Linked DNA regions of Tribolium castaneum. The protein of the gene in region 1 purifies or fractionates together with the protein of each later gene. This does not show direct contact. Links are inferred from orthologs where the notes say so. Each region holds a gene or a part of one and is shown on either strand. Other genes may lie near its edges.

Evidence for each region. The genes of interacting proteins can lie anywhere in the genome.
Region 2: the proteins of scu (region 1) and rswl purify together in Homo sapiens (co-immunoprecipitation; 3 studies listed by BioGRID and IntAct, counting the BioPlex papers as one, with this or other methods). This does not show direct contact. The link is inferred for Tribolium castaneum from reciprocal best matches to the Homo sapiens genes HSD17B10 and TRMT10C.

The regions. Positions count from the first base shown.
Region 1 is NC_087394.1:34,712,645-34,716,214, forward strand, and holds scu (3-hydroxyacyl-CoA dehydrogenase type-2), read right to left. Parts: upstream 2,373-3,570; 5' UTR 2,240-2,372; coding exon 2,231-2,239; intron 2,146-2,230; coding exon of another isoform or gene 2,019-2,145; exon of another isoform or gene 1,958-2,018; intron 1,499-1,957; coding exon 1,331-1,498; intron 1,282-1,330; coding exon 1,117-1,281; intron 1,062-1,116; coding exon 824-1,061; intron 780-823; coding exon 589-779; 3' UTR 549-588; downstream 1-548. Other genes in the region: uncharacterized protein GEFmeso, read left to right, coding at 1-270; proline-rich protein PRCC, read left to right, coding at 2,019-2,145, 2,437-3,467. UniProt on the Homo sapiens protein: Mitochondrial dehydrogenase involved in pathways of fatty acid, branched-chain amino acid and steroid metabolism. Acts as (S)-3-hydroxyacyl-CoA dehydrogenase in mitochondrial fatty acid beta-oxidation, a major degradation pathway of fatty acids.
Region 2 is NC_087395.1:23,608,950-23,612,280, reverse strand, and holds rswl (mitochondrial ribonuclease P protein 1 homolog), read right to left. Parts: upstream 1,989-3,331; 5' UTR 1,825-1,988; coding exon 1,489-1,824; intron 1,443-1,488; coding exon 1,154-1,442; intron 1,107-1,153; coding exon 544-1,106; 3' UTR 527-543; downstream 1-526. Other genes in the region: pea (ATP-dependent RNA helicase DHX8), read left to right, coding at 280-502; odorant receptor 94a, read left to right, coding at 3,242-3,331. UniProt on the Homo sapiens protein: Mitochondrial tRNA N(1)-methyltransferase involved in mitochondrial tRNA maturation. Component of mitochondrial ribonuclease P, a complex composed of TRMT10C/MRPP1, HSD17B10/MRPP2 and PRORP/MRPP3, which cleaves tRNA molecules in their 5'-ends.

The sequences.
Region 1 (3,570 bases):
AGGGAAGTGAATGGCAATGGCAAAAGTGCAATCAAAAGGCCCAGCAAAGCTCCACCGCCCATTCCCGTCAAACCGAGCAGATTGGTTATCAGTACAAAGAACATTTCAAACGTAATCATGTCAACGGAGACAATAAAGTCGGGTACAACCAACATCCAGAAACTTTACATAGAGCAAAGCAAAACTAAAGCTGACTTAAGTCACGAGACGAGAAATGTGAACGTCAGTGAGAAGAGTTGGGTGAAGGCAATGGTTGGACGATTCGAATGACACAATTCATAATCAAACTTTCCCATGTGCTATATGTGGCTGTTCTAGTTTTATCCTTGTTCGTTTGAAGAGTGTTTATGATAGTTGATAAAATATTTATTTTTAAATACAAAGCAAAACAAAGGAAATTATTGTACAGTTTTAACGCTACGGTTAAAAATGTAAGCATTTTAAACTACGTATTTACCATAGTAAATTAAACGTGCCAAATGGGTCCTTATTTTCAGGACCTTTTAAATTATTTGTTAAAGGTAGCACTAATTTTGTAAAAGTATCAATAAATATTTTCAATCTTTATTCCTCGTTTCATTACAAAAGTTACGGCTGCATTCGCAGAGCACCGTCCAGTCTAATGGTCTCGCCATTTAACATGGGATTTTCGATGATACATTGCACCAAATGGGCAAATTCTGCTGGATCGCCCAATCGAGACGGAAAAGGTACAGACTTTTCCAGAAACTTTACAACCTTGTCAGGCAATGCCGAAAATAGGGGTGTCCTAAATAGGCCTGCAAGTGAATGTTAAAAAATAGTAAGAACGAAAATTAATTACCAGGGGCTATGGTCACGACTCTTATTGCCTGACTTGCCAAGTCCCGAGCTATGGGCAAAGTCATTCCCACGATGGCCCCCTTACTTGCCGAATAAGCCGCTTGTCCCATTTGTCCCTCATAGGCGGCCACACTTGCCGTGTTAATCACCACTCCACGTTCCCCCCTTTCATTTGGCTGATTTTCGCCAATCAGGCCCACAGCTAATCTAATTACGTTAAATGTGCCAATTGTGTTTATCTACAAATAAAAAAAAATGTTTCGGTACTTGGGAATATAATTTACGTGTTATTACATTTATAACTTTGGCAAAATCCTCCAAACTGTGTGCAGCTTTTTTGTTGAAATTGTACGTTTTGAAGGCAACGCCAATTCCGGCACAGTTCACGACATTGTCAAGCTTGCCGAACTTTTGCTTGGCTAAATCTAAGGCTGATTGGACGTCGCTTTCGGAAGTTACCTAAATGAATAATAAGTTTCAAGTATTGGGATGTGTGTTTAGTGTTTACGTTAACAGGAGCGAATAAAACTTTGTCTTCGCCAAGCGTTTTTGCAACTTCTTGGCCCTTTGAAGACTGCAAGTCGCAGAGAATGACACGACTTCCTTGTTGGACGAGTCTTTCGACTGTTGCTTTTCCCAGCCCGGAGGCGCCTCCAGTCACCAAAGTCACCGCGTTCTATAAAAAAAAACTTCTTTAATTCGCCATCTCTAGTAACTCAACAGAGATTACATCCAGACATTTTTTGTGCAGTAAAATGCCCGAACAATTTGAAGACTAGAAAAGTGATACTCGATTCTAAACCAGAGTTATTGTAAAAAAAGCCGGACACTACATAACAATTTTTATCCCTTTTCTTTTACCAATTACTTACTTGAAAATTAAGTTAAATGTAGCTAAACAGGACAAAATCAAACAGCTTTTGAAAGATTTGTGTCCACTTGCATACGTTCTTTACGAAAAATTTATTTTTATACCTCTGCTAAATCAAAAATTTTGATTTTTGAGTTTATTTTTGAAGAGTGCTGCAACACATTATACAGCACCGTGGTGCAAATTGCCTGCATACATACTTTTTATTCTGAAATTCAATTTAAATATGAACTATTAACAATTATCCTTGTACATAATTATTGCAATGATTCTCTAAGTTAATTACACACAGTTTTTAGTTTTTTTATTAAAGAAAAAGATTGTGATGAAACAACAAATTACACAACCTCAAAAGTCACGTCTAGACGTCGAAACCAGTTCATTAATTTGTCTTACTTTTAAGAATATCAATTCTTTTTACGCTATTTCTACTCTACAATTTAAACATTGGGGTAAGTAGAAAAAATATGTTACTGAGTTACACGTTTTTACATCACAGATATCAATCAATTATTGCAATTATTGAGATAAACTTACCTTCAACATGCTGCTCAGTTTCAAAATAACTCACTCGACAAATATTTTATGCTTTTGCCTTGTAATTGTTTGAAAAACGAGGAACAAAGGTCGGATTATTATTCAGCGTTGTCATAAAGCTAACCAAAAAACAGCCATGTTATTGCTGTAATTGCCTTATCAGTTTTGTAATTGTTTATTTCTTGTTATCACATCGATTTTTGCAGAAACCATGGCTTTGGTCTCGTATGACTATGAAAGTGGCAGTGAAGAAGAAGAACAAGAAGAACCCTCAACTTCTTCGGAAGTTATAATCAATAGCACAAAAGTTAATAACAGTGAAGCAAATGAAGACACAACGGAACTACCAGAAATATTGTCACACCTTCCTCAGACTAAAACCACAACACCCACAGTTAACGTGACGGAGGATAAACTGGAAGATTTTATCCCGAAATATGAACCCCCTCCCAAAGAAAATAAGAAAACTCAAAAAGTGAAAATAACCATTCCGAAACTATCAGAGTTCGAAGAGGAAGAAGAGGAGGAACCACAGCGCAAGAAAACGAAAACCGTTTCGAAAAGCAGTGGCTTGTTATCCATGCTGCCCCCAGTTAAAGGTTCCCCACTCTCAACTAAAAGTTTCGTACCAAATGTCCTAAAAAACAAACCTCCGGTCACCCAAAAATCGAAAGCCAACAGTTTAGTGCCACACGCAGTTAAGAAAAAGGCAGAAATGGCCAAAAAAGCCGCAATTAAGAAAATAACAAAAGGTTCAAGCAGTGATGCCGAAAGCGACGACGATATTGAAGTCCCTGAGACGTTCGACGACGAAATGTGGCAGAAGGTCTGTGGACGAAACACTAAACCCAAGCCGCCTCCAGTCGTTAACGTGGAGGAAGTTGCGCCTCCGGTGATAAACATCGCACCTGAGCCGGTGAAACCGTACGATGGTTTGGATAATGCGGCGTTTAAAGAGCTGGTAGGAAAGGCCAAACGGCCGGTTAATATCAAGCTTGTGGACATTAATGAGGAGGAGATTTTGCCCGACAAGGAAATCTGGATGACTAAGTCATTAACCGATCCAGATAGCGCCCCTAAACCGGTGGTTGAGGAACCGGTGGACCCCACAAGGAAGAAGAAACACCACATTACTTATCTGGCAGAACAGGCGAAATTGAACGAACAGGAGTTCCAAAGTCAATGGTCTGCTAGTAAATATGCGCGAAATCAAACACGGGCCAAATACGGTTTTTAAAAGTGTGTATAATATATTAATTAAAAAAATAACTGGTGGAGAACTTGTTATGCAACGTTTTGTCTGTTAACCACCACTCATCAGGCTAAAGAAAAAATTAAAC
Region 2 (3,331 bases), on another chromosome or scaffold:
CAAAAATAATGGAGATAATTAAGTTTCTTCTTGAAAAAAGTATGCAACTGCTTGAAAAAAGCAAAAAGAAATTCATTTTTGACAGTTTCATTACTGAAACAATTAAATAACACCTTTTTTGAAATTATTTTAGTTATTTTTGATAAAAGCTCGCGTTTAGGGCTGTAAAAACCTAATAAAACTTTTGAAGAGGCTAAAAGGACATTACTTTCGGCTTAGTTTCGCGAAAAACCGAGTGGTTTTATTTTTTATAATTTTTTGTCTATGTGCGTTTTCAAGGGTGATCTACCACGAACTGGTGCAGACCACGAAGGAATACATGCGCGAAGTGACCACAATCGACCCAAAATGGCTCGTGGAGTTCGCCCCCGCTTTCTTCAAATTCTCAGATCCGACAAAACTGAGCAAATTTAAGAAAAACCAACGTTTGGAGCCACTTTACAACAAATACGAGGAACCGAACGCTTGGCGAATATCGCGAGTTAGGAGGCGGCGTAATTAGGCATAGTTAGGTGTAAATAAAAAATTAATAATCTACTGTGTTTAATTTTCATCATACATGATACTCCTAACTTCTACTCTCCTATCCTTCCTGGATAAATCCAGTTTCTTGCCTGGCTTCCAGAACCTGCTTTTGAAGGATTTCTGTTCTTTTTGGTCGGTCATTTGGATGATTTTCCGTCTGGGGACGTGCCTCAGAGCGTATTCCCAGTCGCCGGTGTGCTTAACGTCCAACAAAATTGCCACACATTGATTTAAAGTGAGGCTTTTGCCCGAACCGGAGCCCCATTGGAGGTAGCGGTCAAGGGGCAGTTTGGCCATTCTCAGCCCCTCACGCTTGGCCTTGGCCAGGGATAAGGGCTGAGTGTTGACCTTGTCGACAATTGCGCCGATAATGTAGATGGCGTCATGGTCATACTTCACCAGTTCTTCCCGGCAATGAGGGGTTAAATAAACCAACTGTTCCCTCGGGAATTTTTCCAAATAACTGGTTTCGTGCACGTTGAGGGGGAACCAAGGTTCGTGCAACGTTGCAATATTACTCTGAAGAGTTTCGTGGAGGATGGTGTCAGGGGCGAGGCTACAATAATGCAAATCGAAGGGATCTGAAATTTTGAATAAAATTTTCGGCGGATTTTTGCAGTTTTTCTACCATCATGGGCCCGATTTTCGGCAAATAATAAAGTCAGTTGTTTGGCACAGTTTTTATTTTCCCTGACTGTCATATCCTGGTCATAGCCACAATCCACCACCAGTTTTTGCCCAAATTGCATCGCTTGAACCAACCGGTTATTGTACAACTGATTGATTGTGTTATCGTAAACCCGCAGAAAAATATTATTGTGGGCCAAATCGTACGTCGAGACGAACTCTTCAAGCGTTTCGTTTTCCTTCTTTTCGGGCTTGTCCCCGCGTTGCTGCTTTTTCTCTTCTTTTTTGATCTAAATAAAACGTAATGCACTTCCGGGATTAGAAAAAAATTATTACCAGTCTGTTTTCCTTCTTTTTTGAGATTTTAAATAGATATTCTAACAAGCGCTTGCGGGCCGAATAAGTCGGCAATTCGAGCAGTTCTTTCCAATGCTTGTCTTTGAGGAACTCATCGTCAGGAACCAATTTACCCTCCTGTCTCATGACATCAACTTCCAGAATTAAAACTTTCAACTTATGTTCCAGTTCTTTGTCCCCATTTGTGAGTGCCTCAATATTGGGACCTTGAGCCGCCTCGGCACAAAAAAACGATCTGGGGGGCCGATAAGGGGGCACACGCACGAAATTACCTAACCTCACTAATTTCGCCGACTGTCTAACCGCACTAAACATGTTGTAATTTTCTTAATAAATTTAAACCGAAACTTATGCACGTGTTTTTTACATTAAAAATTGTTTCAAGTTTTGAAATTACGACTTAAACCTAACCCCTATTTTCGGTTTGGTACCAACCGTACGACGCAAAATCACCATTAACAGTTGGTTATTGGACTTATTTATTAAATTATTCGTTTGCAAATGAATAATAAACCTGAGCCAGTCTGTAATTTATGCTCCTTTTATGATAATAAAACAAATTACAACGTGATAAACACAGTCCATTTCACCAGTGGCGTAGCACAGGGCCGGGTTAGGGGTCACGTCAAAATTCAAAATTCGTCATGTCACATCTTCATTCCACCAGTAAGGAGCCCCTCAATAAAGGCATTACGACCAGAGTCATGGCCTCGAAGCAAAAAGACGTAATTTTGGTGCCCACACTTTTGAAAATTTCAATTGGGAATTTTTAGTCTGGGGCTCAAAAATCGCCCCGTGGGTCCATAACCGAGCGCCGAAACTCGCGGTTTTTGTCCGGCGCGTCAATCCCCAACTCTACTATACGATCCAGTTTGGAAAACCCCGGCAAAATTGAATTACCCGCCCAAAAAATCCCCTCCTCAACTAACACTTCTGTTACGTCAGCTGGTAAAACCCCCGAGGCTGAGGCGAACGATACAAGCGAGAATGAAAAGCGGGGGATGGAACGGATGAGGCAAAAAATTCGCAATGCCCAAACCGTTGTAATTATCTCATTATAATGTGTTGATTTTTTTCAAAAACTGTTACAGGAACTTCCTGTTGTCAGTAAAGAGCGTCGCAGGTCTTCAACCGTCAAAGATTTTGATTTTTCTATTCCTGTACGTGCCTTTAACCAGCGAGTTTTTGCGCAATTTTGTGATTCCAGCAAAAGCAAATGCGTCGCTCGACTCTCGAATCAATCAAAAATGCAATAGATGAGTCCCCAAGTCACGTCACAAAGCTCGTAAACGCTGACAGTATTGAGAAAAGTAATGTTGGGCAAACTTTCAAAGTTCTGGATGATCCAGTCTTAGTTCTCAAACCTAAAAACAACGACCAAATCCAGAAAAAAGATCTCCAGACGCAGACCAGCTTCGTGCTTGAGAAACTCATCGTCCAGAAGCAATAACTTTAACCCTAATTGATAACTTCTTGACAAAACAAGGATTTTAAAGAAAAACGTGGACTTTTAGCTCAAAATCATATTGGAATAACATTATTTTGGCTTGAGTTTGAATTTTTTTGGTCAAAAACCCAGAAAAAACCCCACCTTAGTCCTTGAAGAACTCCAGAAGCAATAATTTCGCTTGAAATATTAAAGTGTGAAATTACAAGGCGCGACGCCTCAATTATTCACACCCCGGTCATCGTTGATATAAAAGCCGTAAAAGGGGGCCAAAAAATAGTAAAAATGATGTCAGACGAGTACGTCAAAGACGTGTTTATAGCAAATCGGTGGATGTTGCGTTGTGCTGGTCTTTGGACACCAAGCACTCGCTCA